2 linked regions of the Oreochromis niloticus genome follow. The protein of the gene in region 1 interacts with the protein of each later gene in a pairwise test. Links are inferred from orthologs where the notes say so. Each region holds a gene or a part of one and is shown on either strand. Other genes may lie near its edges.

The links.
Region 2: the proteins of blmh (region 1) and nudt12 interact in binary tests that used the Homo sapiens proteins (3 or more experiments, as listed by UniProt). The two-hybrid records come from large-scale screens. The link is inferred for Oreochromis niloticus from reciprocal best matches to the Homo sapiens genes BLMH and NUDT12.

Annotation. Positions count from the first base shown.
Region 1 is NC_031979.2:10,710,886-10,727,372, forward strand, and holds the start of blmh (bleomycin hydrolase), read right to left. Parts: upstream 8,580-16,487; 5' UTR 8,452-8,579; intron 7,978-8,451; 5' UTR 7,837-7,977; coding exon 7,827-7,836; intron 5,756-7,826; coding exon 5,558-5,755; intron 1-5,557. Other genes in the region: uncharacterized protein si:dkey-52l18.4, read left to right, coding at 9,732-9,783, 10,271-10,612, 10,708-10,953, 11,053-11,081, 11,198-11,305; rap1gap2a (rap1 GTPase-activating protein 2a), read right to left, coding at 15,059-15,067, 15,402-15,475, 15,619-15,721. UniProt on the Homo sapiens protein: The normal physiological role of BLM hydrolase is unknown, but it catalyzes the inactivation of the antitumor drug BLM (a glycopeptide) by hydrolyzing the carboxamide bond of its B-aminoalaninamide moiety thus protecting normal and malignant cells from BLM toxicity.
Region 2 is NC_031977.2:32,252,395-32,268,881, reverse strand, and holds nudt12 (NAD-capped RNA hydrolase NUDT12), read right to left. Parts: upstream 7,619-16,487; 5' UTR 7,482-7,618; intron 7,431-7,481; exon of another isoform or gene 7,229-7,430; intron 6,338-7,228; 5' UTR 6,337-6,337; coding exon 6,131-6,336; intron 5,234-6,130; coding exon 4,930-5,233; intron 4,849-4,929; coding exon 4,581-4,848; intron 4,491-4,580; coding exon 4,323-4,490; intron 3,752-4,322; coding exon 3,638-3,751; intron 3,478-3,637; coding exon 3,278-3,477; intron 3,041-3,277; coding exon 2,930-3,040; 3' UTR 2,841-2,929; intron 2,700-2,840; 3' UTR 2,266-2,699; downstream 1-2,265. Other genes in the region: interleukin-6 receptor subunit beta, read left to right, coding at 34-552; solute carrier family 12 member 2, read right to left, coding at 9,146-9,281, 12,643-12,710, 12,798-12,933, 13,273-13,359, 13,454-13,565, 13,804-13,917, 14,377-14,517, 14,590-14,669 and 4 more. UniProt on the Homo sapiens protein: mRNA decapping enzyme that specifically removes the nicotinamide adenine dinucleotide (NAD) cap from a subset of mRNAs by hydrolyzing the diphosphate linkage to produce nicotinamide mononucleotide (NMN) and 5' monophosphate mRNA.

The sequences.
Region 1 (16,487 bases):
AAGAGATCCACAGCCTATGGCTCTTCAAAGTGGTGTCACAGGGTCCCCGGGGAAAATTGTAAATGTAAAATAATAAAATAAATATTCTTCTGTAGCAATAACAAAGTATAACATAAATTATTCTGTAGCAATTACACAAGAATATTCAGTAATGTCCCTGCCTACAATTAAACACATTCACCATCTGCTGTGGCAAATGGCTGCAAGGCTTTTACCACAAACTTAGTCACTGCTCGGTGACATTCGGGCCTGAAAAGAGACGCTACCGGTAGACTGCAGCGACAACTGCCAGCGAGCGCCAGCCAGACTCTGTCTCTCTCATCATGGTCACCTAAATGCACAGTAATGGCAGGTTTTATAATAAAGCAGATCGCGCTAACATAATATGCACTGTTAGTTGATTATTTACCTGCTGCATTAATGGGAGAGGACGTGCAAACGTTACCGCTGCTGCTGGGTTGAGATTCACGACTCCGGAGCGGAATTAAAAACACGACATTCATTTAAGTTCATCGCGTGTTTTGTGAGCAAATGCTTTTGCATATTCGTAGTGTTCCCTCCCTTAAATGAAATATCTACTTTGCAAGTATTGCAAGTTGCCCTGTTGTCATCCATTCCAGTAAAGTATAACCAAACTTTTCAGCGTTTGAGCCGCTTAGGCGCCGTGTTTCCTGCCAGGTAAGCTCCGACGCGCCGCAACGTGGTGACGTCATTCGGGGCGACTGGAATCGATAAGGGAATCGTTTGCAAAAATGGCAAACAATTCCAAGGAATTGAAACAGTGGGAACCGGTTCTCAACAAGAACCGGTTTTCGATACCCATCCCTAGTTTTGACTATTACAAACATTACAGGCACAAACCCGTGGACCAAGCTGAAGTCTATTAGCTGAAGTTCTTGACAACCGCCTGTCCTTAATGCACACCATGTACTTTAAACTTGTGCCTCTCACCAGAGCCAAGACAAGATCAGATTCACTTTACTACACTGTAGCAATTTCAAGACTTCAGGAAGTGTTAATCTTATCAGTGTTGCCAGTGTACAATTTATATCTACATTTATGCTCTTCACCATATTTACCTTGGCTAGAAATGTTTAATGATATAAATTGCTATTTGCTTCAGAAATGACATCACTAACTGTCTATTGTTTGAACTGTAAAATGTCGCTGTGAGGACAAATGTACAACATTACTGAATTCAGTGTCTTAAGCAGCTGTTTGGGTTGACTGACAGGTACAACGGTCCAGAATAATACATCCAAATGCAAATGTAGAAATTATCCACGTGCTTCTTGATATTAAATACATAAATGAAATGTTCTAATAAAAAGTTACTGCTAAATATTTTGCACATAGACGTTTATTTATCACCATCAAACAAGGTGTAAACATTCTGAGCATCTGTGACTGGCAGCTGGTGCAAACTTGACAATGAAAACTAAAAATGGGAATAATTTCTAAATGAAACAGACAATAAGTGGCACTCTGACACATAAAGAAGAGCATAAAGAATCAGGTGGTCTCTAGTGATCATTGACTATAGTTTTGGGATTTCATAAATCACTTTTGCCATCCACCTGGCACTGTGAAGGGCACATGGCTGGAAACTTGAATCCTTTTGTGCCAAGTGTCTAAACTCTAAAGTGTCTATACTGACCAAGATGGCGCCGGTGTACGTGGCTGCTCGTCTGTCGCTGTCAGTTTTGTTTGTTTTTATATTGCTCCTGTCGTGTGTCACTCAAGAAATCGGGTCATTACTGGTGTACGATCGCCAATCGCTTCTGAACCTCAGAAGTTCTGGACAAAATACAGCTCCATTTTCTAACGGAGGTCAGAATTCATGGTGTCCGCTGCTGTCACATATCCCGACTTGCCTATGCCGTGCAGTCATGCTACCTCCCCGGCGAAGACGTCGGGGTAGGCGCAGTGGTCGGCTGGTTAAACTCAAGATCTCTTTAGCGCACCATCCCACTACCGTCAAAGGAATACAGAGATTATTTCCTGGAGTTTTTGTGCATCGACGTTTCCTGGACCCCGTGGATTCCTGCCTCATCCCCGTGGTCTGCCAGGATGATGCGCAGCTCCTCCGTGACCCCTGTCCCCCTCGGCTCAACGTGCGCCGGGCGAACCTCCGCAATCTGAGGCCGCTGTGTCGGACTCCCTGTGCCGCTGGGGCTTTTACCTCATCCCCGGCTCCTGTCAGGATTGGGCTGGTAAACGCCAGATTGCTGGTGAACAAATCTTTTATTCTGAATGAGTCATTCATCTCCTGGAAACTGGACTTCATGTGTGTCACGGAGACTTGGCTTAACACTGGTGAGTCCAGTACTTTATCTGAACTTTTACCAGCGGGTTGTTCCTATTTTAACACACCAAGGACATCAGGGAGAGGAGGAGGTACGGCGGTTGTTTTTAAAAAGGATTTTAAATGTAAACTGTGTTTTACAGCCCTCGTTTTCCAGCTTTGAGCTCACGTGTTTTGAAGTCAGTCGCTCTAACTCTGTGCTCTTTGCTGTTATTTATCATCCCCCTAAATACAATAAGAATTTCATAAATGACTTTTCAGAATTTCTAGCTGGGATTATGCCCAACTACGATCATGTTCTTATTGTGGGAGATTTTAATATCCATGTCTGTTGCCCTGATAAACCTCTGGTGAAGGAGTTTAAGCCTCATTGACTCTTTTAATCTGGTCCAGTCCGTACCTGGTCCCACACATGAACACGGACACACACTAGACCTGGTCTTGTCACACAGTCTACCTGTGTCTAACGTGGAAGTGACTGACACTGCTTTCTCTGACCATATGGTTGTATTATTTGATGCTGTGTTTTCACGCACTACAGTTCAAACCAGCGCTCCTGTTCGCCGCTGTCGGATTATTAACCCTTCCACTGCTGCCCAGTTCGCAACTGCTTTTAACCAGCTGTCTATGCCCGCCAATCGTACTCCCTTGGACACAGAGAACCTCAGCTCCTGGTTTCAATATTCTTGCCTTACTATTCTGGACTCTGTGGCACCATTAAAAACCAGGAAGCCCAAGGCTAAAACTGACCCTTGGTTTAATGACGTCACTCGGGCTGTGAGGAGGGAGTGTCGTAGAGCTGAACGCAGATGGAAGAGGGACAAACTGCAGGTGTCTCTTCAAATCCTAAAGGACTGCTGGCGCCTCTATCAGGATACAGTCAAAGAGGCTAAAAGAAAATACTTCTCTAAGATCATTTCCTCCAACAGTCACAATCCACGTGTGTTATTTAAATCTATTGACTCAGTCTTAAATGCTCCACAAAGTGGCTGTTTGGAGGCCTCGCATAAACTGTCTAATGATTTTATGTGTTTTTTCATTGAGAAGGTTGCAACCACGCGGGCTCTCATTTCTTCCCCTGAGTCTGACCCCTCTGTCTCGATCCCTTGCTCTGCTGTTTTTAACCAGTTTGAGCCTGTGACTCTTTCTTATTTAGAGGATGTGGTTGGCCACCTGAGGCCCTCTGGTTCCCCAAATGATCCTGTCCCACCACAATTTTTTAAGGAGATTTTTCCTAGCATAGGCCAGGCTGTTCTTACTGTTATAAACAGCAGTTTAATATCTGGTGTAGTCCCTGCTAATTTTAAGCATGCGGTAGTACAACCCTTGCTTAAGAAACCTGCCCTGGACCACACTGTATTGGCTAGTTACAGACCCATCTCCAAGTTGTCCTTTATGTCTAAAATCTTAGAGAAAATTGTACACTGCCAATTGATGGATTTTTTAAATGAGAATGGTATCCTGGAGGTCTTTCAATCAGGTTTTAAAAACTTTCATAGCACGGAGTCAGCACTCTTAAAGGTTTTTAATGATATCCTCCTTTCCTGTGATTCTGGTAATCATGTTGTTCTTGTCCTCCTTGACCTAACAGCTGCCTTTGACACTGTAGACCACAACATTTTACTGTCTCGCTTGCACCATCTTGCAGGCATTCGTGGTACTGCTTTGAAATGGTTTCGGTCTTATCTTTGTGACAGAACTTTTAGTGTTAACTTTTTAGGGTATGAGTCTTCCTCTGCCACTTTTCAGTCTGGGGTCCCGCAGGGCTCAATTTTAGGGCCTCTGCTTTTTTCATTATATTTACAGCCCCTGGGAACCATCCTCAGAAGGCATGGAATATCCTTCCACTGCTATGCTGACGACTGTCAGATTTATCTGCCTCTGAAGCAGAAAGAGGCCTTCTCTATTAAGCCACTTCTAGCATGTCTAGAAGACATTAAATCTTGGATGTCCCTAAACTTTCTAAGATGTAATTCAAGCAAAACTGAGGTGATTCTGTTTGGTCCTAGTGGACCTTGTGTACCCTCCGCTATTGATTTGGGACCCCTGGCAGAGTATGTTAAATCTGTCGTTACAAACCTGGGTTTTAAGATGGACAGTGATTTTAAATTAGGGCTACTGTCAAGTCCAGTTTTTATCATCTAAGGCGCTTGGCAAAGATAAGACCTATTTTATCCAGGCCGCATCTTGAAACGGTAATCCATGCTTTTATTTCATGTCGTTTAGATTACTGTAATGCTCTGTATTGTGGAGTTAGTCAGCATCTTCTCTCTCGTCTGCAGCTGGTCCAAAATGCTGCTGCACGACTTTTAACCAAAACTCGTAAAAGAGAGCACATAACTCCCATCCTGGCTTCACTCCATTGGCTGCCTGTATATCTTAGAGTTCATTTTAAAATTCTCATGTTTGTGTTTAAATGTTTAAACGGTCTTGCCCCAACTTACCTCTCTGAGCTTCTGCATCCTTACTCACCCCCCAGGTCTCTCAGGTCAGCTGACAAGCTGCTCCTGGAGGTACCCAGGTCCAAGAGAAAGCTCAGAGGGGACAGGGCCTTCTCTATTGCTGCTCCTAATCTGTGGAACAATCTTTCCCAGCACATTAGAGGCCCCTTCACTGTCCACTTTTAAAACACGTCTTAAAACCCATTTTTACTCCTTGGCTTATGACACAGTCTGACCCTGATTTTATTGTTTTAATCTAATGTGCTAATTTTATTGTTTTAAATGTAATTCTCATCATCATTTTTTTTTAATACTATTTTATTATTGTTTTTGCTATTTGTGCTAATTTTATTTATTTTAATAATCATTTATTTATTTATATATATATATATATATATATATATATATATATATATATATATATATATATATATATATATATATATATATATATATATATATATATATATATATATATATATATACACACACACACATACATACATATATATACATACACACACACATTTTATTTATTTTATATTATTATTATTTTTCTAATTTTTTTAACATGTTCAATGTATCATTTTTGGCATGTCAAGTGTACAGCACTTTGTGTTCAGCTGGGGGCTGATCTGAAAGTGCTATATAAATAAACTGCTTGCTTGCTTTTGGGCGATGGCCAGTCCCCCCCTGAAACAGGGCATTTCAGGAACACCTTACCCAAACCATTCAGCCCTAATACAAACACTTTAAAAATGCATCTTGTGGAGAGTACATGTGTATGTAACTGCATTACATCATGTCCTACCTGAGTTTTTCTGGTTGGTGATGGGCTTGCCCTCTGTGGGAATAGAGTGCTGGAAGATGTGCACAGTATCCTGTACAGTCTGCCGGTGAAGACACACCTCCAACGGGTCGATGCAGGTTGACACATTCTGGGCCAGCAGGTAACGCGGCTCAGACCGCATCCGCTTAACAAAGGTGGCTACCTTCTCTTGACTCAAACCTTTAGGAACAAGAAGTGGGAGACAGGGAGTGTGAGGGGGAAGAGGGAAAAAAAAATAAGGGAAGGAGAGGGAGGACAAATAAAGTTAGGACATTATAGAAAAGCTTACACGGCTAGACATTCAGACACATTGTCTGCATCCAAAAGTGGAATTTCCTACTGTTCCAATTCCCATGACTCAACTGTGCGGTTTAAGCATGTGCACTTCCCACTTAAGAGCTATCTTTCGAGTACTCACGCACTCAGATGTCAGAATGATGCCTCTAACACCAGATCGATAGTCATAAACTAAGAGCATATGCTTTATTGAACACCATAACCGCCTGGTGCTTCACTTCTTTTTTCCACAGTCCACACAGAGATTACATTGGAATCTATAAAGGGTACCATATACAATTAAGATTAGCCCTCTGATAAAGAATATTCTGGGTACATGGAGAGGCAGTACCAGCAAAAGAGGACAAAAATGAAGAAAGCTTTGTAGTAGCACTACTACAAGTTGCCCCAGGGAGCTGAGGGCTGGTCAGAGCTGGCTGCTGGGATCACTCATCTGGCTCCATCTGTGAGAGGAACGCACTAGAAAGCCTGTCCAGTCCCACTGGATGGGGGTAAGGAGGGGTGTGCACGCGCACACACACAGAATCAAACTGGCACTAGTGTGTGTGTGTGTGTGTGTGTTTTATTCCGTCAAATAATAGCATAGAGCAATTAAACATTGAGAGGGACATTGCCTAGTCATGCATGCTGCCTCGAGTTCAAACCTCTTGCTCAGCTGCATTCTGTTATTTTCCATCAACACAAAGCTCAAATGCACTGACCATCACAGATTAGGACAGTGTCAAATCTCATTAGCTGCTGCGTTATCAAAAAAAGAAAAATGGGAGAAAAAAAAAAAAAATGTAGAACCCAGCCTAAGGCAAAGAGTATTCTGGGAGTGCGGCCTCAGTCATGTGTCAGTGCAACACGGTTTTCCTTAAGCCACAACAGCTAAAAGTTATGACATTGATCAGTATGGATAGATGATGAGGACATGTGTCAAAAGGTCAGCCTGTAATAGTAAAAGCCAGCAGCTTATTTAAATACAATATCTGATGGGAGTGTGTGCGCGCGTGTGTGTGAAGAAACGGGAAAGACTCAGCCCAAATAAAGTTAGTTGTCCAGGCTTTTAGTCAACAACTGAGGGCATGAATGGTGAGGACAGAGATCACGGTGGCTTTCTATGGAGAGGGGCCAAGCACAGGCAGCCAGGGTGACTTGCAAATTTACACACCAGTGCTCGTACAGCTGGCTTTACATTACCCAAGCACTTTATTATGACCGTCACTGCTCCATAAAGCTGGAATACAGACTTTAAAAAAAAAAAGGAAACAGGCTTAGGAGGTAGTCATTGTTGCTGTCAACTTTACAATTAAAAAAAAAAATGACAATATTGAAATTCTTAACGTTTTTAATTTGTTTAATTTCAACTTATCTTTTATTGTTAAATGTTGCGGTGTAAATCAGAGCACCTGGCTAACACAGATCTTAGGTTCAAGTTCAAAGTCGACCTTTGCCCAGAAGCATAAAAAAGAGGTGTGAAACAAAGTAGGGAGTATTTCTCGGCTGACTTGGGTGGTTATTGAGATCTACTGAAAAATAAATGAAACTATTCTCTTTTCGGGTAAAAAGCAGGGTTCCCCAAACAGAACTCTCACTTCCATGAATGGCCCCGACTTTAAAGAGTCACTGTGGCATTTCCAAGACGAGCTAGCTACTCTCTGGCTAATAAATCCCGTTCCTGGAAAGAGTTCCTAACGCCTGAGCAGAGGAGCAGGATTAATGTATTTAAGATTGTGATGTTGGCACCGTGCTGACAACCCCATAGCCCGTCGGGGGGGGTGAACTGTCAACCTAGCTCACAGAGAGATGGACGGCATAAAGTCGTGCTAGCAGGCTGGCATGCTAACGCAGTGAATGCTAACTTTAGCACGGGTTAGCTCGGTCAGCTGTCATTCTCCTGCAACCAAATGCAAGCTCCACTCATCGAGGCAGCCACAAACACTGAGAGGGGACACAGTGACATTTAACCTACCAGTTTCCATGTTGCCGAGAAGCTTGAGGAGCGTCAACTGTTGTCCTGGAAAGTAGCCGGCTCTTTGTTTATCTCATTCACCGACAGTCTGTCAGTGTAACCACGGGGTGCGCTCGTTTATGGGCTCCTGGCTCGGTCTTTGACGTGGCGGCTGGGCGGGGTTTGAAAACAATGTAGACTACATTAGCTCATGAAGACGATCAATGACTGTAGAAGTCATGGAAGACGATTCACATACTTTGTAATGGCACATGCTCACATTTACTTCTGTACTGCACGTATTTAACTCTTTATTTTTTCAAGAATATAAAATCTACTAGTTCTACTCAAAATTTAGCTTAAAATAAAAAACCATTATCTGTAATAAAGTAAGGAAATAAAACAAATATTTTGTACACTGTTTTCTTAATTAGCCAACATTTTCTCCTGGAAGCTTACAAGGGAGTAATTGTTCAGTGTGAACACTTTTAACCCATGTATGCAAATCATGTTACAAAGGGACAACATTAGATATACTCAACTTTAGCCACCATTTTCAGCCTCTGTGGGTTTCTCAGCTAAATCGCATGAATAATAACCCTAGCTGTAAATGCGGGCTAAATTATACTAAAGTCATAACACTTACTACTGGCGTCTGTCGTTTTTTGAGTTTCTTTCCAAAAGGAAGCACCGTTCTCACTTCCTCTGTATTTCCTGCACAGCGCTGTGGACGATAAACAAGCGCTCCCAAAAGTCAAAACTGAAAGATTTACCGCATACGAAACGTCCGGTTTTCAAAATAAGATCACGCGCAGCGCTTTTTGAGCGACACAAACATCACATAGGACATAGCAGAAAATGAGGACTGTATGTGCTTAAATCACTTACATGCGAGTATATTCTTTAACAGCCCATTATTTGCTTAATAGTGTTTGTCTTCAAAGGTAACCAAAGCTTTTACTTTGAAGACTTGATGTGCGCTGGGAATGGGCTTGCAGTTGTACTCCGAGTGGAAAATCCCTACCTGCGCTTAATAGTACAACAGAAACGTAATCGTAAAAAACTCCCCAGCCTATTTTCTGAAATAAAGAGAATACAAGCACTTTCGCTATAGTAACAGTGGTAAGCTATGCAGCCAATGCAAGTGGGTCGTTCCTAGTATTCCTAGTATTTGGTGCCACGGGGACTCGAGTCCCCGTGACACAATATAGTGTATTTGTGGAAAAGTTATTTCTGCAAGCTTGTCTCACACTATTAACCCCCTTCTATCATATACAGCAATTATACGCTACCAAAATGATTAATTTTTTACAATATTCAATGTTTTCTTTATTATTTATTTATTTTTAGTAAGAGTAGTGCTTTCTGAAGTGGGATATGCCAAAGTTTGAAAACCACCGAGCTGTAGCGAGCTATTCAGCCTCAGCTGTCAGAGATCTGTACTCCAAATAACCACATAATCAGCCATGTATGCCTTAATCAAGGTCTCTGGACTAAAATGTTAATCAAGACCTGCACAGAAATGAGAAGGAGGAGGATTTGCTGGCTTCTGTTCTCTTTTGTCTCTTCATGTTATAGTTCTTTGAAGCCGGCCCCTTTCCTGCAGGAAATTTTATATTCCTGTTCATGAGATCACTGCTTCCCGTATTTCAGTTTTGCGTGTGTGTGCTTGTGCCTTCAGGTATGGGTAAGTGTTCACTTCCTTCATCTCTGACCGGATAGGAACAACAGCAGGAGAAAGGAAAGACAATATAATTACTGAGTAAAAGAAAGTGAAATACCGTGATCCCACTCACTCGCTCCCTAAGATTTCCAGAAAGTGTGGCAGCATTTAAGAATCAGTCGTAAAACGTAAGCACAAACTCTCTTAGGGGAAGTGATGAACGGCAGACAAAAACACCGTTAAACACACCCTTACAGTCAGACATGTATACCTATCTCCTCGGTGTCATCTGCTTCGTCTGTATCTTCCAAGCTGGTAAGTGATCTCTTTGAAACTCTGACCAAAGTTCTCATTACATAAAGGAAAGTCTCTCTTCTTGCCTTTTATTTGACTGTTTTTGTTTGTTAAAGCGCTCGTGTGAACTCTCCATCTGCAGTATTCTATAATAAGATGCCATTTGCCATGTGTTCGCCTTAAAAGCTGTGGTAATCACGGTCATGCCAAAGCGCACTGCGTGCGTCTAGTTCTTTGAAATGTTTGTTAAGCTCCGTGCCTTTTAAATGTGGCCGCCATATGCGTGTTTTATTCTGCATGACGTGTGTTTCACTGCATATGGAAATTAGCAGATGTACCAAGTTAAACAAAAACATGTGCGTGTGTGTTTATGTTCCCTGATTATTAATGCGTTTTAGTGGTTATAATCTAACCAGATTGGGACAAAGGAGCACCAAACTGCACGAGTTTCCTTGGCTACACATTCACGTTCCCCTACAGTGACTTAAATCTAAATTCCTTCTTTTAGGTCTCTGTGCTGAAGAATGCCAACTTAGTATTTTGGCAAAACGCGATATGGATTATGTGCCAGAAGGGGACAGCTTGTCATTGTCCTGTGTAGTTCAGCACTGTGGAAACAACTGGACCGCTGCCTGGATGTGGGAAAATTCAACATATGATTTTAGGAAGCCTGTGAAGGAAAGCGAGAGACACCATTTGACCAACAAGACAATTTCAGCCAGTCAGACAAAGCTATTCTTAAACATCCAGAGTGTCAACCAGTCGGATGAAGGTTCCTATGGATGCATGGTTGTTTGGGATACAGGTGTAAGTGAAAATGGACATCGCACGCACGTGAACATTACCGCAGGTACAGAGAATGACATATATTGAAGTGCATCACAGTGCATCTGCATTTTGGCCAGCAGGTCTTACTGCTTGTCATGTATCCTCCTCATCATATAGCTCTCATCACAGGTCCCTCTCCAAGGAAACTCCTGCACAGGGTTTTGATCTGTGCTTGTGCATTACTCTGCCTTCCCATCATCCTGGAATTGGCTCGCTGTCTGAGCTCAGAGGTCAAACCACAGCCACTTCCCAGGGCACAGGTCATATACGAAGTTCCATACGCAACCCAACCAACCATCTTGGCTCCTCAACCTCCACCTCGATGCCCGGTACCACAGAAATGCAAAGCATACCCTCCCAAAGGTATATCCTGTGTATTTCCTTTTGTTAACCTGTTATGAGGCAATACTCTGCAATTTTTACCATGCTGTCTTTTCTTCTTCTTTTTTTTGTTTTTTGCAGCTCCACCTAAAGTCAAGAGGAAGCCAGAAGTAAGTGAACGTACTGTTTTAAAACAGTCCTTGAACATAGTGAACTCGCTGACAGGCTTGCAACTCCTAAACTGCCCCCCCTCCCCCCCACCCCCTTACTTTTCACACTGTTACAGGTGATGTATGCAGTGATTTCCCAAGGTGCACTGAAGCAGCAGAGAGCCACGAGACAGCCTGCCCAGTCTGCAACTGTCTACTCATCCCTCAGATTTGACAACCCCTAATGGAGTTATGCATTATTTTTATGAATTAAAAATAATCCCATATCTGCTATTTTTCCATCTAGAACCTTTGGGGGGAGAGGGTGTGAGGTGCTAGTTTCAATCTCCCTGTTTGAATCTCCCTGTATTGAGCAGTTTCATGTAGGAACTACTCTTCCTGCCAAATTACAACCGCCAGCCACATCACCTGACCGAAACAAGCCAGCAGCTAGCTAGTAACACAGGACAGGAGGAGAGAGGGAATTGCCTGTACTTATTATCTCCTACCATACTGTCACACTGAGCAGGAGCCTCTCACCACAGATGCAGCTTCCTTCTAAAAAACCAAAACACATGTATAGTCCTGTAAGAAGGTTTTCTTGGGACTCTGTGCAGTCCTATGAAAAACTAAGAAGACCTTTGCTGCTTCCATAGGAATTAAAAGAGTAAGTAGCAGCTAGGTGGAGTTGATCAAATGCATCTGATAAGCTGATCACCAGGTGTGAACGCCTCTATGAGAGCAGAGGTTTTGGCAGTGTGGAGGTCTGGAGCATTCAGGTGTGTGTGAACACAATTCCAAGGAGGGAAGACATCAGCAATGTTCTTAAAGAAGCAATTGCTGCTGCCGGGAAGAACTACATAACAGAATCAGCGGGCTGGGTTAGATGTGGATAAAAACGAACAAAAACAGATGAGTATGGCTTTTTTGGATCTTTTATGACAAGAAAACTTATTTTCTCTAAAAAGAACATAGCAGCACGACTTAGGTTTATGAAATTGCATCTGAATAAATCTGAGGACTTCTGGAACAGTGTTCTTTGGACAGATGAGACCAAAGTGAAGCTGTTTGGCTGTAATGTACAGCACCATGTTTGAGAAAGACCAAACACAGCATATCAGCACAAACACCTCATACTAGCAGTCAAGCACGGTGGTGGAGGGGTGATGTTTTTGGCTTGTTTTGCAGATACAGGACCTGGGGACCTTGGAGTCATTGAGTCAATCATTAACTCTCCTGAATACCAAATTATTGTACAGTAGAATGTGAGGACATCAGTGTGACAGCTAAAGTTGGGCTGCACCTGGGTCATGCAGCAGGGCAATAATTCCAAGCACAGCAGCAAATCTACAACAGAACAGCTGAGAAAGAGAAAGATTGATGTGTTGCAACGATGTGGTCAAAGTTCAGACCTCAACCCGACTGATATGCTGCGACCGCATCTTAAGAGAGCTGTGCATAAACAAACCTCAATGAACTGAAGCAACACTGTAAAGAAGAGTGGGCCACAATTCCTCAACAAGGATGTGAGAGACTAAAAAAGTTCATATGTTCAAACTACTGCTGCTAAAGGTGATTTTGAAAGCTATTCAATAACAGTGTGGACTTACTTTTCCACAGGACTGTATGGGACTACTTTAGGTAGGAACCAGAAAAAGAGCCACTTTAAAAAAGGATCACTTTCATGTAATGTTACATATAATAAGGAGATATTGCATCGCACAGCTGTACCACGCTGAGGCGCTACAGTAAGCAGACTCTGCTTTGTGAGATGATTTCACAGATCTTCTGGTTTGTATTGTTCTAAAATGTGACCACATTAACTGCTGTCAGAATAATGTGAAGGTGCTGCAGTGTCGACAAAATGTGAAACAAACTTCCCTCACGTGTTCAAGTATATTACACATTAAAGTATAGACAAGAAAAGCACCCGTGTGGAGAGATTGCATTAAAAAAACAACAACAGAAAACCAGAAACAACACACAAATATGACACAAAATACAACATTTTATTTTAGAATAAATTCTCAATGGCACATTACATAACCAAATATACATATACATGTTTAGACATCTTTTAACTTAATATATTTCCTTTAATCATTTTACCGTTAATTAGCGTACTCTGCAGTAACAATTTTTACATGACATCGATGCAAAAAAAAGTTTAATAACTTAAGCGTATTAACAAAGGAAAGGCTGCAGGGCATTTTTTTTTTAGGCGACACCTGCTACAAACTATATGACATCTGAACTTCCCCAGAGGATTTCTATCCCTGCTTCCCTTACTCGAGGTAATCACCGACCGAGGGCAGCGTGTGTTAGGCAACACGCCTGCCTCTAGTCCTGATAAATTAGAAAGGTACTACTCAAGTTAGAACAGCTTCCTGGCAAGTTAAAAGGTGACCTACATGTAAATCACAGAGGGTGTTTGTAATTTGGGTGAACCTAGCTATTAAACCTTTTACACTCTCAGGCCAGCCTAAACTACAGGAACTGTTCCCTACACAGTAAGATTACACCGACATTCTTCCTAACACACACCAGCTTGATTGTTTTTGGTCACACTGGAAGCGAATGTGTGTGTCTTTATGCTTCTTTTCCAGGCTAATGTCAGTTGAAGATTAGACCCGTGGTCCTGCTGTGCCTGCGAGCACCTGACTTTGCAGTTTTTACTTGCATTTTTGCAACAGCTAAGTCCTTTTTTTTAAAGGCTCATAGTTTACATTCAAAGTGTTCTTTGTAACTTCATAGGTGGTTTGTTATAACCTGAACTTCATATTTTTCAAGTCGTCCTCATCAGCTCACATCCTGGGAAAAACCCTGGAGATGTCCTAAAGAGCCGCCGTACGTACACGCCGATACACCGAGCTAGAGAGTTTCAATGGGAGGTATCAGAAGGTGAAATGTTTTCACTGAGTGCAACATCTATTTTGAGCAAATGTGGGTGTAGATCGGCTACCTACAACTGTGCTGTAACCAGATCCCCGTCCTCTCACATAGTGAGACGCACAGAGACGAGACGGAGGCTGAGAAAGAAGGTGTCAGCGGCAAAAAGGGCTTTTTTTTATGTGTGTGATGTGATAGATTGTAAGGCGCAGCTTTGGCTAAAAGAAGCTTGTGGCAAAATGTGTTGGCAGTGCCCCTCCCCACCCCCCACCCCTGCTGTGTCCCTAGCCGAGCTCTTGAGTTCAGGGCTATGAAGTTGCCCCTACGGATACAGAAATGCTGTCCTAGGAGGAGACGCGTCACGTTTATAGTGCAGTAGACACAATGCAGCAGCTAGCGGGATTACAAAAAGCCTCGTCGAAATCAAAACCTGTTCTCTGGAAAAAGCATTTACATTATGCAAAGAACAAGCTCAGAGAGCACAGTGGAGAAGACTCCCAGTGGCGGCGCCTCCGAGGTCTTGCTACTGCGAGTCTTCTGTGCGCAGTTTTTGTCTCCGGATGTACCGTTCAAGGGCGAAGGCAAATACATCCTGATGGCTGATGGTTTCTTTTTTTCTTCCTCCACTGGGCACTCAACAGTCAGTGAGATAAAGGTTAACAGTTCGGCCATAAACTTGTGTCACAATTCTTCTAGGTGGTCATCGTGTTTCTCTCTATCAAACAAGACGCTTGAGGAAAAAAAGCCGAGCTCGGCTTGAACTCACAGTATCACAGCTATGCCAAAGACCCTCACGTAAGGTGGACGAGCAACGGTGCAGCGAGTATCGACTAATCTGCAGCTAAAGGTTGGTTAGAAACAAAAGCCAAAATGTCAGCTGCTCCCCTCCCTATACACTCACAGTAGTTTCAGTTAGATTCTAGTGTGCAGGGGACTCGGTAACCTTGTCAGGTTATCCTTGGCATTGGGAAGTGGTTCTACAGTGATTTTGTGGTTGTTGCTGTGACTTTTTTATTTTGTTGTCGTTGTTTTCTTTTTTTTGCAGCTCTGTCAGCAGGTGCTGTCCTTTCATTGTGCAAGGTTGGGAGTTTTTTCCGTTCCACCCAAAGCTACTCAGACTGAAAGAGAGAAGAGGGAACAAAAAAAAAACAAAAGAGAAGAGAGAGCGTTCAGCACACGTCTTTCAGTCCGGGCTTATTACCCAACATCAGCTTGAGTGTTTCAGTCACATTACAGTGTTCCAGAGATAATGAGATGTCTATAAGATAGACAAAGTGTTAAAAAACAGACAGACACACACACCAGGGGACTTTTTCTCATTGCTGCCAGTGTTCTGCCATAATTATCTTAATTTCAATGTCGAACTTTCTCTCTTTAAAAGTTTTATGGAGCTTCTGTCTCGAAAAGTTGGAAATATCCTACTGAAAATTCTTAACAAGTATCAGGACTTACAGTCGTGGATGAGTGGCTCATTTTGTCAAAGCGGAACTTCAAGTTTGACCTCGGTGAAGTTTTAGTTTTTCCATCTGTGTAAGAAAAAAAAGGGAGGAGACGGAAAGGAAACAAAGGAAATGCTCGTTAGAAAATGAACTCATCCACCTCTGGCGTGTCATTCTGTTCAAACTGGACTAAAAGCTAGTCCACGAATGCTTTATGAATTTAGGCTTACCTGTTGGACTGCGGCACATGATGACAGGGGTGCAGGACCCTTGGCTTTCTATGTTGAGTGCGGGGCTGAAGGCAGAGGAAGAAGCTATGGATGGATGGCTGGCCTGAGGGAAGGAGAGAAAGCGGGAGGACGAAAGTTAAATATGGACACAGACGTATGGGGGTGGGGGTCTAAAAGAGGTTCGCTGAAACGAGGGAGCAGAAGTTTGCTGAAGTTGAATTTAACTTGCCCCTCAGCAAAGTGGGAAACATTGCAAGGAGTTGGGTAAAGCTGGCTTGGAGGGAAAAATGATCATAAAATGGGTTAGATTAAAATAGGTGATGTGGTGTCTTAAGTTTATTTCTAACTCAATATTTTGATTCCTGCATTCTACTAGAGTCGATTTGCATTATTCATAGTTAAAAACAATGCTTATTTATCTCACACAAGTCCTTTGTGCAGCTTATCACAGCTGCTGTGAGGTGAGAGGCAGGGTACACTCTGGAGGCTGTGCCAGTTCTTTGCTAGCTAACACAGACAACAATTCACACCTACAGTCAGTTTAGAATCATCAACCTAACCCCACTAACTGCACGCTTTTGGGTGGAGTAGCTGGAGAGAACCCACACAGGTGCAAGAAAAACACAAACAGAGGTGAGCACGACTCTCACTGACATCATAAACATACAAAAGCAGAAAAAAATGCTTTAGAGAGACAATGCATAGGGAAACAACATTAAGGATTAGTATGATAGTTCTCCTAGAAGTTTTTTAGGGGTAAAGGTTTTGAAATATATATGTATGTGTGTGTGTGTGTGTGTGTATAGTCAGATAGTATGCTAGCCAACGAGCTAAATGTAGCATAAAGACTATACAAATGCTAATTCGCC
Region 2 (16,487 bases), on another chromosome or scaffold:
ACAAAATGACCACTCATTCATTCTTTTCAACAGAAATTTGCAGAGAGGAGCATCCTTAATATTGAAGACTTCCAGGTGACTGATGTCCTCAGAGACAAAAGTCTCATCATAGCTGAGCGAACCTCTCAGCTCTTACCAGATGATGACCAGCGTGAGGATACCTCTCTGCTGTTGATTGGCTGCCTCACTCTAGACTCTGAGTATGTTTCTTATAGTGCACAACCCACAGAGAACCAGTCCCCTCCTCCTATCAAGGTTTTCATATCAGAGGAAAAGCAAGAGGCTGCCGGCGCTCCGCTGCACGAAACTAAGCTCTGGCTTCCTCAGAGCGACAAGGACAGAAATCAGGCTGACATCTCCGAGATATCACATCAGACCGAGGCTGCTGTGAAAAGTTACTTTCCTGGTTTGTCGACTGAAAGTCAGCCTGTTTATCCGATGACCTGTGAGACAGAGAACGTGTTGAATTGGGGCAGGCAGAGTGACTGCTCTTATCTGATCTGTGATGCAGGTTACATTTCTAACAGTGGCACAGGGGTGAAAACACATTGAGACAGACTCAGCAACGAATGAGCTCGATAAGATGTGGCCGAAAGGTTTATTACAGCAAGGAAAGCAGTTGCCTGTCTTGTGGGGCAGACACAGGGAAATAATTCATTGGGTCTGCATTTTTGTTTTTTTGGTATTTTTGTATAAAAAAATATAGAAAGTTCCACAGCAACATAAGTAAGGAGTGCCTCCTTTTATCCTAAGATCATTGTTACTCCATGTTTGTCAGGCTCATGTTGGTCAAATTGGTCAAATACTTAACTGAAGTACATGTTCTTCTCTCTACTTCTGCTTCACTATGTTTTGATTATGAACATTATACTTTTACTTTGTACCACTTATTTTAAGGGTTACTAATTATTTTGCAAATTTGAAAATGTTAATCTACTATTGCATTATGCTGCACTAATATAGATAAAGCAACCCAGCAGTGTACAGTACAAGTAATTCAAATCATTAACAGACACTTATACGCTATGTTCAAAAATATCCTATATTGTGCAGAAGAGATATAACTTGGACTTTTCACCATTTCAGACCACAAAATGTTGCAGGACGGCAGTGGAACTTTTATTTAACCAGACAAGTCATTAGAAAGACCTTATATGCAATGACAGACAAGACACAGACAAAGTAATGCTCCATTGGAGTCTTATTATGAAATATCATTATAGGGCTCCATGTGAGACTGAAAATAGTGCCCAGTTTTTTCTTTTAGCCCCTCTTCAGCTACAACCAAGTCTTCTAGAAAGATACTGAGGCATCGTCAGTGCCACCAGGTGGCATCTTAGTCAGATACTGAACCACTTCTACTGGCTGCTTTTACTGTGAGCTGGATGGTCTTGCTGGTTAATGAAGCCAGCAAGACCATATAATCTGCAAAACGCAGAGTCTAGATCCAAATTTGACACCTTCCACTCCTTGTAGACATCTAGAAATTCTCTTCATGAATGTTATTAAATCAATTGTTGAAAAGGGACGCCCCGGTGGACTCCAAACTGCAATATATTTCTCATAAAGCAAACCATTCTCTCTATGAATGTACAAGGGACAGATGGCTCATAATCACAGGAGCATTGAAGAGAATCAGACAAAATCACTGTCTGTTTTAGAAGCAACCTTGTTTTCTGAATTAACTTTGGGAATATATAAAATGTATCTGTTGAGGGTAACCCAGTCATTGGGGTAACCTTTATATATTTAGGGATAGGCTTCAGACTTCTTGCAATCCAGAATGCTAAGATTCTCATTGGAAGTGAGCAGAAAGGTCAGGATTAGAAATGAGCTGTCACTCAAGGTTGAGATGGTTGGGACAAGCGTAGAAGAGTGATAGGGGATGAGATGCACATAGGATGCCGAGTATGGAGCTGCTAGGCAGGAGGAAAAGAGGAAGACGGTGTGACAGAAGGATGCAAAGCATAGGCAAGGATCTCCAAAAGTTGAATCTGTTCATCTGGACGTAGTGTTTTGAGGGAGAAACGTTTCGTCACTCATCCAAGTGACTTCTTCAGTCTCAGCTGACTGCAGGTCACTTGGATGAGTGACGAAACGTTTCTCCCACAAAACGCTACGTCCAGATGAACAGATTCAACTTTTGGAGATTTACTTTCCTGGATGATTGAGAATGCATCAAGACATAGGCAAGGATGAATGAGATAAATCAGTTGATCTGTTGTGTTGAAGTTCAGCTTTCAGGGAGAAATGTTAGGCACATCCTTGCAGATATGCAATGTTCAGGTGTAACCATTATAAGGCATCTAAAAATTCCATATATAGGCTGGAATATTTGGGAAAAAAAGGCCCCATACAACAAAAATGGCTTACTTTGAGCAATTTATTTAATACTTGAAGTTTATTTTGACTCCTAGAAATAATCCAGCAATTATGTAATTTTACTCACATATTTAGATTTAATGAACTTATTAACGTAAATGAAAAAATTTAAAAATAAACAAAAGGCCCCACCCCGAAGACTCTGAATGGTTTAGCAGAAAATGGATGTATGGATGTTTGAGATTACATTTCTTGTAAAAAATGTTTTGTTTAATTAAAGGAAAGTTGAATGTGTTTTATTATAAAACAAATGAAGAGAATTCTACTTTACATAATCAAACTTTTATTATCATTTGTCCACCCGGGCAAATGAAGAAGAGCACGCTCCTTCTTCCATATTTAATCATCGTACTGCAGATATTTCCGAGGTGAAATGTCAAACCTGAGATTGTTGTACATGCGTGGAAGTCGCTTCGCAGTAAACTGATATTAAAGCACAACGTGTACAATCTGAAGAATGTGGTGAGTCAATTCAATGGGGACAAATTCGTTCCTATCCATCGAACCTCCTCAGCTGGGCGGGAGGTGGAATGATGAAGGTGTTCTGTTAGAGATTAGCGTTTATGCCGATCCAATGTCTGATCAGCTGGTGGGCGATGGTCTGCCTTGGGGGGATGTTAAAAGCTGGAGATGCTCCTCTGAACAAGGAGTCGATCACCTAAACAAGCAGAAAAGTTGGATTTCTGTCTCATTAATGTCTAGAATTGTTCATTATTAAGCATTAGAAGAATTGGCCATGGAAATGCATGAAAGCTCTGGAAAATTTCTAGTAACTGGAGCTGATGCTAACAGTTTCCAGACTGTTGTTATAAAATAATCTTCAGTAGACTTATTATTAACTCTTAACATCATGATCCCTGTTGGCAGTTCCACTAATAGTCGCACTGTTACTTACCTGTTGCCGTGTGAACCACTGAGCTTCCTCTATCTCATTCTCATCCACTTTGATGTCGGTTGATATGGCAACAGCAAGGCAGCCAAACATGAGGTTGGATGGCATTGGCCAGGGCTGGCAGGAGACATACTGAACCGGTCCGACCTTCACGCCGCTCTCCTCCTCCACCTCCCGCCTTACTGCATCCTCAATCGTTTCCCCTGCGGGGTATGACAGGGAGAAGCTGTCACCCTAATTTTTATAGCTGAGACTTGATTTATGGTTAATATTCCTGTGAGGATTAGCTTCAGGCACACATCAGTTGTTTAACAGCTGAGCAGTTTTTATGTTTTTCTGTGTGTGTGTGAGTTTGTGGTATACCAGGCTCTACAAATCCTGCTAAACAGGAAAACATCCCAGCTGGGAAGACCTTCTTCCTTCCCAGTAAACATTGGTTTCCATCTGGGTGGATCACCAGCATGATGACCACTGGGTCTGAAATCACAAACATATGGAAACTTTGTTACTCAGAGTGGGCAAAACCTACTATAGTATATGATGTGACGTCAAACATTAATAAAACTGAAGCAGGTGAATTATAAAAATATTACATTTCTGTTCATTTGTTATAAAAAAGGAAATGGCTATAGAGATAAAAACTATATTTAACCCCAGGCTGGGAACATATCTATTTCTGTTGGGCTTTTGTAAAGACTTTTTTTAGGGACATTTTTGAATTTATCTGACATTGCAACAGTAAAGAGTGGACAGCAAAGAGGGGCAAGAGAGCAGGGAAGAAACACAGGAAAGGGCTACAGGTCAGGATCATGCCCAGGCTGCTGCATACGGCTGTGTCTTCAACCAGCTTAACAGGCACCCATGGGCTTTTTTAATATGGGGGTCTGTAGGACTTGACTTAGAGCAAGCCTCAAGAAGCCACTGGAGAAACTACAGTTTTCTGTTCTTTTTAGCTTTTACATTTTTTGGTCATGTTTTTTGTGCACAGCATGATGGTACACAGTATTAACTACAGTGCCGATGAGCTGATAGATGAGCAGAGTCATACCAACTCGTGGATAGCAGGTATTGTGGACCCCCTTTAGACTCCTGCACTCAGAGTTCAGACAGCTTCTCTTGTGTCCTCCATCCTCCAGTTTGGTGCTGCTGCCACATGTCGGACAGAAGCTGTAGCGACCGTGCCAGGCCAACACCGATCGAGCCTGAGCCACGATCCCTTGCAGACAAGGAGAGCGGGAAGAAGTATTATACCCTCATACAAGAGAGGCAGGTGATCAAACAACAACACACGTTTTGTGTGTCTCACCGGCCTCTTCCTCATTTAGTTTCAGCAGGTCTCTGTTTGGCATCTTTGGAAAGGAGCAGTTCTTCTCCCTGCACCGTTTAACAAGGTCAGCAGCATCTTCATCAGTGCTGAAAGCAAACCAAGCAGGGGCCTCCCGGATACCCTCCTCAGGAGAGGAAGGGGAGGGATTTTTCCTCTTCTCCACTCCGAGGAAAATGAGCACAGTTGCAGGTTTCTGTAGGAGATCCTTAACTGCCTCATATCTGAACCGACACAGTTTGCTCTCAACCTGTTGCAATCAGATTCACAATTCACAAGACTTTCATCTTTATCACTTAAACTAGCCGTAGGCTGTAGGTTATAAACATACCGCTGCGCCGTCGTCTTCCTGGGATGTGCTGACCATGGGGCTGAGGTTCGAGAATATGAGGTAGACAGTATCTGGTTCTCTTTGTTTGGCCTCCAACCAGGCCTTGTCAGTCCTTTTCCCACTCAGGCGGTCCAGCGTCTCCCTGCTGAAGTAGTTTTCCTGTGGACTGATGTCAGAGCCCTGCAGGACTCGCCGGCAGCCATCGTCAGTCTGGCAGAGTAGGTTAGCGATGTGTTTGTGACCCCAGAACTTGGCAACATCATAGGCGGTCTGTGATGAACTGTTTACTATGAACTTATCACAGCTTAAAAAGTAGAATAAAACAAAAAAGAGGTTTTAGAGAAGTCAGGAATCCATTTATACATTCAAGGCTACAACATATCAAAGTTTGGGGCTCTTTACAACTTAGACTTTTAAGTTTTTAGATGTTTGTCATTTAAATTGCACCAACATTTTTTCTGTACCTGCTTATTATAGCTTCTTTGAGGAGGTTTTTCTATCCTAAATGGGTTTTTTTGCGACTATTTTTGTCTCTTCAGCTTTTATATTGATTTCTTTCACTAAAAGTTTTTGCCTTATCACACTGTTAATGCAAGTTTATTACTTTTAGTCTTGTTTGGTCTTCTTGCAACTCATAATTGTACTGTATTTTCACCACTAGTTTTATCCCTATTTTGCCTTGTTTTATACTTTAAAATATCATTTTAGCATATACCTCCTAGTTTAAATCCTTTTCATTGAATAAATTTAGCTACAGTTTTATCTCTCTCTTATTTTCAGTCTACTCCTATTTAATTTTTAATAAGTTTTAATTTAACGTAGCTGTGTGTAGCCAAGTTTTATTCTAGCTTCATTTATTTGTTTCAGAAAGAGAATCATCTTTATTTGGCCAAGTTTGTGCACACAAATAAGGAAATTGACTCCTGTTCACTTTGCACTTTCAGTTTCTTTAAATATTTTAAATCCTAGCTTTAGCCACTTTTCATAATGCTTGTCAGTTCCTGTTGCAGCATGTTTCTGCCCATCAAGTCTGCAAATGTTTACCTAAAAGTAACACATGTGGAATAGATACATCCCCTAAATACTAAAAATTATTAGTGCAGCTTTGAAAAAATATTCCACAATATCTCTCTTTAGTATTGTTCACTTAACAAATGGTACATTAATAACATTACAAATTAAGAGAAATGCAGTGATGTACCCATGTGACAGCAGCTTCTCCACCACATGAGAATGTCCATTGCGAGCTGCAAGCATTAGCGCGGTCCAGCCGCTGTATCCTGTCTGGTTGATGAGCGAGGGCACGTGGGACAGCAATATTGACACCTGGGACATATCTCCTCTTGCTGCAGCATCCAGAAACTTCTCCACCATGTCCTCCTTCGCGCTCAGTTGATAGCTCGTCATCCTGGATCCGGAGACAAAGACAATGTAACCTGTGCTAATATATGATCTGGCAAAATGTCAGAGGAGATATTATGAACAGATGAAGCAGCTAGCTACAAATAAATGTTAAAAAATGAAAGTGAAATGTTATTTTACAAGTATTGGTTTAAGAGCTAAAATAATCACAGATAAAAAGGTAAAAAGTTTTGAATAATTGATTGATGATTAATGTAAAGAAATGGGAATTTGGGTTTAACAACCTTAAAATATAGCTCAGTTTAAAATGCTGAAAAAACAAAGTACAACAGCAAAACTGACCCAAATAAATACCAACATGTCACTAGAACGCTATTTTTTCTATTCCATCTATTGAGTGGTTTGATACAACATCCAGAGAACGACTAAAATACGGAAAACAACTACATTTTGCTCTTGTTTTACTAACAGTTAGACCCAAGAACATTTGAATGATTTGGCCAAGTTACGGTAACTAATTGTGCCATCTTGTGGCACTCACCGGTATTACTGTAAAGAACAGCTTGACCCTTGTTCACTTCAGTTGACATCGCTGTGCTCTTTAAGATTTAGACATCAAGTCAAAATATTTTTTAATCGCATTCACTTGACAACTGCACTTAATTTTAAAATATTTTTAACTATTTCAAATTAGTGATTTTGAAAAAAGTGCCTGACAAATTATTTTTTTTGATCAAATGTTGTAATTTTCTGAAAACAATAAAAATAGGAAATACATGAATTAATGCAATTATAATTTAGCAAAATAAATAAGTAAATAATCCTACAGCGTCAATTCTACACTGTGCCTTTAATTAATCCTCCCTGTCTCATTAGCGCATCGAACTGTCAATCACTGAACCCTTTGACCTCAGCAATGGTTGCGAAATGAACTTACAGGAACCACCTTGAATTGCAGGTGTGCTTTTATAAATCCCACAGTGTTGAAGATTAAGCTTGGACACAATATTTGTTTGTCATGTGGTTTTAAAAGGCCTCTGAATACCGGCTCTGTCTCACTAACAGTTCAGGAAACGAAAACACGAACGAACAGGAGCGACATTCGCCGTTTAAGCTTCGTTTAAAGGAGACCAAACTTCACATTTCACGTTGAGTTTCATGTGAAAGATTATTAAAGCGTCATCTCTTGCCTTTCGCTTGGCGTCCACTTCCCCTCCGTCTCCTGTTGTTGGAGAAAATGTTACGAGGTGCGTTCAAGAGCAACAACCACGCTGATTATGGGTGGTGCTGCCTTCAGGTCCTCCCGGCGCTGTAGTATTTCCGACTTATAAAGGCTTCTCATACAAGAATGAAGCTATGTTAAAGTTCTTTACATAGTAAAATTGCTTCCTCCTGTATGCTCTCACCTGCCACTATATTGAGTATTACTACTAACTGAGTCCTCTAATTATTACATAGAAGAAAACTATTGCAATTAGGCATAATGCCATTGTTAAGTTGACCCTTTGAAGTTCAAACTGAGCATCAGAATCTCACTGAAAGGTAATTAAAATGAGTTTGAACATTACATGGTTGCTGGTGTCAGAGAGACTGATTTGACTTATTAGAAACAGAAAGGTTCCCACGTAATCATCAGAAAGTAACCATCAATTTTCTGTGTGAAAATAGGAAGGAAACAATAATTTAAGTAACCAGTCATTACAACAGAAGTTATGCAGAAGAGCATCTCTGAATACACAACACAACGTGCTGCTTCCAGAACAGAAAACTGAAGCTATAATTAAAATGGTATTAACAAAACTGGGCAATGAAAGATTAAAAACAATGTTGCCTAGTCTGATAAGTCTTCATTTCTGCTGCAACATTCACATGGTTGGGCCAAACCACAGTATACTTCTCTTCTGATGGCTGGAACAGGATATTCTAATCATGGATGTGCAGCTGACAAATCTGAAGCGATCATGTCAACATGGACAAAATTCTCTGAGGATTGTTTTCATCATCTTGTTAAATCTATGTCACGAAAAATGAAGATCGTTCTGAAGTCAAACGCTGGTCCAACTATACTAAGGTATACTTAATAAAGTGGCTAGTGAGTATATATGTTATGCATTGTTCTACTATACCTCTTATAATACCACTATCTAACCGAGTTTATATAAATAAAAAAAGAGTTTATGTTAATTGTTTTTTTCAGCCCTTCACTGAAGAATTGTGTCATCAGATTAAAGTTGCTGAGGATGAGATTATATTCTGATTTTGACTTTAAGTACTTCACTAATGCAGGAACAGGAATAAAGCTGACAAAAACCAAACTTGAATAAAGCATATGTTTTAGTTAATCCTTTATTAAAATAAAGTACAAAATAAAGTTAACAAAGACGGAGCCTCTCCCTTTGTGAACACAGGTGGGAAAAAAAAACATACAAATGTCATTTTATAATCACAAAAACTTACATTCTCAAATCCAAACTTTTATCCTTATAAATAAACTTTTACTCGAATTTACCTGTAGTTACTCTCATTCACATAAAACTCACAGAGGAAACGGAACAAGCAACCTGTTAGTGTTAGTGTCAAATCTAAATGTTGACCGGATTTAATTAACATGTTAAAAACAATCGATTTAAGACAAATGGAAAAAAAAAATTAGTCTAATAATTTTTTCCTTCACAGCTGAACAGTTTCACAAGCTTAAACCATCACGACGTTTCTGTTTTGGTGCAGATGGAGGCTTTCTCATACTGTAATAAATATGGAGAGCAAAACACACTGTATGTTTGTGCGTGAGCAGAGTAGGTATATGACTCTGTGTGTGTGTGTGTGTGTGTGTGTGTGTGTGTGTGTGTGTGCGTTAGGAGTAAAAGGTGAGGACGCTCTGGTGGTTTCCTCGCACCAGCAGCAGTGGTGGGAGGCCTTTGGACAGAGTTTCCAGCCAGCACATGTAGAGGGCGCTCGACACTGTGCCCTTTCTTGCCAAAGGCATGCTCCTAGACACACAGATAGAGAAAGAAAAATTCAATTTTTATGATATTTATACATATCAAAATCAAACCTAGAGCAGCATTAGAAAGCTAAAGAAGACTGCATGATCTTGTAATTATGAGTTATGAGCAGTTAATGTAAGCTTAAAGGTCAAATTATTTTGACATGTTAAATTCAATGTGAGAAGTCTAATTTACTTTATATGTAACAGCTACGATGAGTTACACTCCGTGTCTCACTATTTTAACTCTATATTTGTTTGTTTTTCCATTAACTTCACTGAATTAGCTTTAAGCAGCTTATAAAACATTAACTATGAATTATGGAGCTCAGAGCTTTATGGGTCATCCATTTTAATGCTTCTGAAGTTCCCTGAGTGTCATCAGCATTTTAAGATTTCTTCAGTATGAAAGTTTAAGATATAGTCAAACTTTCCCAACTTTAAATCTTCGGGATAACTGTTTTTTGGGTTCCAGTGTAATTGGACAAGTTAACACAGTCATATATAAAATGCAGTTTTTAATACTGTGACGAAACATGTTTCACAATCTGCTGCACACGTGGCCAGGTCGTGCTGGAAGCCATGCATGCCCATGCGTCACACCATGTCTGCTGCAGATGATGTCGTATGCTTCAGATCACGAATGGTTCCAGGACTTCTCCACACTGTTGTCACTTTGTTACAGGTTGTCTGTGAAGGTTCTCAGTCATCCAGGTCATCGTAGTCAAAGGAGTTTGCAAAGAAAAGCGTCTGGACTTCTTTAAGTTGCTTGAAGACGTTTCACCTCTCATCCGAGAAGCTTCTTCAGTTCTAAGGTCAAATGGCTGAGAGTCCCAGATTTAAACCCAGTGGGAGTATCCCCCCAAGGAGGGACAAAGGACCCCCTGGTGATCCTCTAATCACATGCGCCAAGGTGTGAAAGCGGGTGTGGGACCTAATCAGCCAGGGTTTCGGGTGAGCCCATTGTGAAACCTGGCCCCACCTTGTCATGTGAATTCCTGAGGTCAGATGGCCCAGGATGTGAGTGGGCGTTAAGGCGTCTGGGGAGGGAACTCAAAACTGGATTATAGATGTGTTCCCCACACCTCTCGTGGGGAACATCCCACACCACATCAAGAACTCCACCGACTTCACCGACAAGGTCCAGAAACTTACCCTGGATCCAGATGAAACCATGGTGTCCTTTGATGTAGTCTCTCTCTTCACTTGCATACCCACCACGGAGGCAGTGGAGACTGTCAGAAAACAACTACAAGAAGACAGCTCCTTGGAAGACAGGACCAACTTCACACCCGATCAGATCTGCACACTGTTAGACCTCTGCCTTACCACAACATACTTCAAATACAACGAAGGCTTCTACAGACAAAAACATGGCTGTGCCATGGGCTCCCCTGTGTCACCTATTGTAGCCAACCTTTACATGGAGGAAGTTGAAAGAAAGGCTCTTGGCTCTTTCAAAGGAGGAGCACCCAGCCACTGGTACAGATATGTAGACGACACCTGGGTCAAAATCAAGACACAAGAAGTGGAATCCTTCACTGCGCACATTAACGCCGTGGATAAAAACATCAAGTTCACCAGGGAAGACACAAAGGATAACTGTTTGCCTTTCCTGGACTGCGCTGTGCACATTGAAGAGAATGGCAACCTCAACATTGAAGTTTACCGGAAGCCCACACACACGGACCAGTACCTCCTCTTTGACTCCCATCACCCTCTGGAACACAAACTTGGAGTAATTAGGACCCTACACCACCGGGCAGAACATGTTCCCTCTAAGCCTGAAGGGAAAAAGAAGGAACACACACATGTAAAGGAAGCACTGAAAACATGCGGTTATCCTAACTGGGCGTTCATAAAGTCAGCAAAGAGGCACAGAAAAGAAGATCAGACACCAGCGAGGGAGGATAAGAAAGACAGACGCAACAACATTGTCATCCCCTATGTAGCCGGTGTATCAGAGAAACTCAGGAGAGTTTTCTCCAAGCACGACATCCCAGTGTACTTCAGACCCAGCAACACACTCAGACACAAACTGGTTCACCCGAAAGACAAAACTCCAAAACACAGACTGAACAACGTGGTGTATGCGGTACAGTGCAGCGAGGAATGCCCGGACCTCTACATTGGAGAGACCAAACAGCCACTTCACAAGCGCATGGCACAACATAGAAGAGCCACCTCCACAGGACAAGACTCAGCAGTCCATCTGCATCTTAAGGATAAAGGTCACTCTTTCGAGGATGCCAATGTTCACATTTTGGACAGGGAGGACAGATGGTTTGAAAGAGGAGTGAAAGAGGCCATCTATGTCCACTGTGAGCGACCATCTTTGAACAGAGGCGGTGGTTTACGACACCAACTGTCTGCCATCTATAATCCAGTTTTGAGTTCCCTCCCCAGACGCCTTAACGCCCACTCACATCCTGGGCCATCTGACCTCAGGAATTCACATGACAAGGTGGGGCCAGGTTTCACAATGGGCTCACCCGAAACCCTGGCTGATTAGGTCCCACACCCGCTTTCACACCTTGGCGCATGTGATTAGAGGATCACCAGGGGGTTCTTTGTCCCTCCTTGGGGGGATACTCCCACTGGGTTTAAATCTGGGACTCTCGGCCATTTGACCTTAGAACTGAAGAAGCTTCTCGGATGAGAGGTGAAACGTCTTCAAGCAACTTAAAGAAGTCCAGACGCCTTTCTTTGCAAACTCCTTTGACTTTGTTACAGGTTGACGTGAACAGACAGAATGCTGCTTCAGAACTGCTGGAGCCTTTTTAGAGGTGTTTTGGTGAAGTTTAACTTGGCCTTGTTGTTCTTGAGTTTGATGAATGGTTGTGGTAAATCCTCTCTTTTTTCTTTCATTGGCGCCTTCTCTTTATGGTTGACCTTGGAACTTTATGCCTTTCTCCTGGAGATTGTTCTTCTTTACCATCCCCCTGGTGTATCTGCTAAATGTCCAAGGCTTTTATAAGTTCACTGGTGTTCTTTTTCATAGTTCTAAGAATTTAATTTTTAATTAATTTTTTTAATTAAATCGTCCCACTAACCGTCTTATGGTTTTATTTCATTTTTGCAGAAAGCAGTGTCCATTCACGAAGGGATTTTCTTGTCATGCATTATTTTGCCAATTAATGATTGACACTGGTAGCTTTCCAGCTTCATAACCACTTATCTAACTTAGGGACGCTGGGAATGCTTTAACATATCCCAACCGATACAAGGCGAAAGGCAGGGTCCACACTGGACAAGTCACCAGTTCAACACAGACAGCTGTGTGCTCATATTAACCAGGTTTTTTTAAATGCTAGTTTGTCAGTAAATTAAAACAAATGATGAAAAAGTTATTACAAAGTTCTTACATGACAATGAGTTTGGCAGTGCTGGAGTGTTCCTTCAGCAGCTCGTTCAGCCTGATCTGACGATTGGTCTGAAAGTAACACACAGTATATTTACATGAACCACTTGAAGAGAGCACTGTGATTGGTCTAAGTGTGTCTGCAACATGAGGACAGACCTTGGCCTTGTACAGCTCCAGTTCGTTGTCAGTGATCCTCCAGGGCTCCTGGGCCTTCAGCCTCTCAGCAGCCTCCTGCTCCATGTCGTCTTCCTTCAGCCTGTACGGCTCGATCAGCTCCTTAAAGGTCAGCTTACTGTAAAGTAACACATTCATTAGGTTTTTAGAGCAGCACTATCAGTTTCATCCTCTCCACATGATGCTTCATTCTAAAATAACATTTAAAAAATATTTCAAAGCACTTAAATTTTTAATATTACAAACTTTCTACATGTTGACTTTCACAGTCATCAAATAATCGATATATTAAAAAAAGAAGAATTCATGAACAAATCATTCACCTTTTGACTTTGGCTTTATAACACTTTGTAAGCAATTTACGCAAGTAACACAGATGCTAAAGACATTAAAAACACAATAGAGAAAATCCATAGTGATGAAAGCTGCTGAGCTCAGGAAGTTTCAGAGGCCTTACTTGTGTTTCTTGGGTTTGGTGTTGATGTCACCGAGGACGTTTATGTCAGAGAAGTCGATTCTGAACCTGCTGAGCAGTGTGGCCATCCTAACGTGACATAAAAACAATAACACAATAATAAATTAAATGTATGTGGATATAAAGTCAAGTTCGTAGTAAAGATAAGCAGCTGTCGACTCACGCTCGGCGGTCGTGGTCGATGCGGTTGATCTTTCCGCCGATGAACACGCGGATCCTGCAGTCGCCCCACTTACTCCTGTTGGTCAGCAAGTAGGGAATCAGCAGAGTCAGGCCTGCAAACCAACACACGAGCTTAGATCAGAGATCATACGGGTCATTAAAAAAACCCCACTGAACAAAAATCTGTTTTCCAGTATAGATCAGGGAACCACAGATTTGAATGGGTTTTTTAAGCTTATTAATTTTTCACCTTACTTTTTATGACAGTGTCAATGGCATGACAGAATCATGGAACCCAAAGTCTGTTCATCAAATATGTTTTTATTTACATATAAGAATGAGAACACTAACCTCCATCATCAAAGAGCCACCACACATCAATGGTTCCTTTGCCCTGTTTCTTCTTAAACTGCTGGCTGCTCTCCAACAGACGCTGGTCAGTCAGGCTCAGAGGAGACTTGGTCTCTGGTAGGCGACGTCACATGGAGGAGCACGGTATGAGACAAGGTAAGGTCAAAGAAACACAAAAGCTCCTGGGCTGTATCACCAGCTGCTAGAAAAATGCTAGAAACATAAATCAGTGGAATATTTCACAAGCTTAGCCGTGAGACTGTGCAGGGATTGTGCCAGATGTCTTTTGGGCTAGAAGTCAGCCAATTTCAATCACTGCTGATTTTAAATAATTTACATAGCACATGGCTGATAAGAAAAAGAGATCAATTTAATTTCTTCCTTTTTTGTTCACTGCTAATGATGAGCTGCCTTCTAAAAGTACTGAAGCAGAAGTTGAAATAGATTAAAATGGAAATACTTGAACAAAATATAAGAACAACAAGTTCAGTGACAGTGAGAGTTGTATGAAAAATAAACATTAGAGTAATCGGCTAAGCTGAGGTATAATTTTAATTCTTCCTCACTGTTTACCTCTCGTGATGAGCGGGCTGCTCTGGTTGCTGGTGGTTTTTGAAGGACAGGAGTCAGAATCGGAGTCTTTAGCCGGAATGACAGAAATCAACACATCCTTAGTGATGACTGGAGGCTTCTCATGGGATGACAGCAGTTCGTCTGCAGGGATACAAGCACAGTATAAACAGAAGGTAGACAAAGTGATGGATATAAAGAAAAAGACAGACGTACCTTGTCCCTGGATGTGAGAAATATCAAGTCCCTCCTGCAGCCGCAGGATTACCACACCAAACAGAAGGTCGAAGGCATCACTAAAATTAAAAATAAATAAATAAATAAAACGCTATACAAAAATGACTCCAAGTGTGATGCAGAACCTCAGCTGCAAAATTGCATGAAAGACAAAGATTAGTCCATTTTTTAAACCTTAACCTTTAACATTACGATCTGAAAGAGAGAGCCTACATGAAAAATCTGTGATATTTTCATGCCTTGTTCTTGGCCCTCTGTGACTCTGGGGGCGATTCCTCTTTATATTTAAAATCCTGTTGATGCTCGCCTCGAAAATGAGAAGGATCCCAACATATAATTATGTTTTTGCTCCCACCGAAAAAACAAAACAAAAACAAAAACTAGTGCTGATCGCCCAGTGCGTGGGGCTGGACGGCACAAACGCGTTAACGAGTTAACTGTGCTAACGCGTTGAGGCCGTGCAGCCCCACTAGGGGGCGATCCGTGCTAACTCGCTAACGGAGATTCGCCGCGTTAATGCGGTTATGGCGTTAACGTCATTTTAACGAGATTAACGCTGACAGCACTACAAAAAACAGTATGATTGTAAAATTGGCTGTTGGTAGCTCTTTAAAAAGGCGCATTAGCCCTTACTGTATAGTGTTGATGTAATTCTCCACATCTCTCATGTTTCCATCACTCCAGTTGTTCTTGAAACCCATGACCAGTGTGTTGGGTTTCAGACGACCTAAACCAACAGCCTAGCATGGGGAGGAAACACATATTTGTAGATGGTGACTTCAATATAAGATGAAGGGTACAAAAAGAAGCCTCCTTCTGTACCTGCAGGAGTAACTGAGCTCCGTGCCTCAAGTTGTCTGAAAAAACAGGAGCATAAAAAGCCTTGATGCGTTTTTTGTTGAGGTAGCGCTGACAGCGGGCATAATCCTGATACAGCTCCCTAAAGTTCGACCGACGGGACACCTGGAGTGGGAGGAGATGAAGCACGAAATGTTTCAGCCATGTGAAAGAAAGCGTAAAATGCAGACCTAACAGACGACATTTGGTACGTACAGTTCTGACGTGACTGCAGACCATGAGGCTGACGTTCTTGGTGAAAGAATTCACCAACTGAAGCAGAGCCGGACGAGCGTTTGGATAACCCGCCAACACCAAACACTGCGGCCTGTCAATATACATTTTATACAGAAGGTCAAGTTTAGGTAGTTTTAAAACAAGAAGTCAGGTTATTTTGGTTTAAATAATTACTTTTTAAATTGGATTAAATTTTGATCATTTAAATTCAGTTAGAGCCAAGTTTCGACTGTTACTTTGTGTTGGTAACGAGTGCCGAGAGTTAACCTCGTAACATCTACCAGGTCAGCATGTCTAGAGTTAGAGGTAAGGTTTGGTTTCACTTAAGTCATTTTTAGTCCATGAGTTCAGCTCCGCTCAAAGCTTCATGCTGACCTGAAGTTTTTAACGTGGTCCTCGACTCCGGTGAGGTTCAGGCAGTGAGTCAGAGCCTGGTTGTAGATCAGAGCCTGAGTGGATGAACCCCAGTTCACATCTAGAGGAAACAGCAGTTTGAATTTGAATAGATTGGTCAGCTCATGGAGTTCAATTGTCCACATTGTAATAATGATAATCATCATCATCATCATGGTCATTATCATAATTGCAGCATATAAAATGTGAACTCATAATACAAAAATATTTGCAAGATAAACATTAAAGAAAGTAAAAGCACGTAATGCAGTATATGCAATATTAATATGTTAATACAGTAAGTATTGTTGCAGGTTGTGCAGGTGGGACTAGTGTTAACTGCTTTGCATTATATGTTTTAAATAATACATCACAGTTTATTAAGTAATTATATTTAGTTTGTTTTTCAC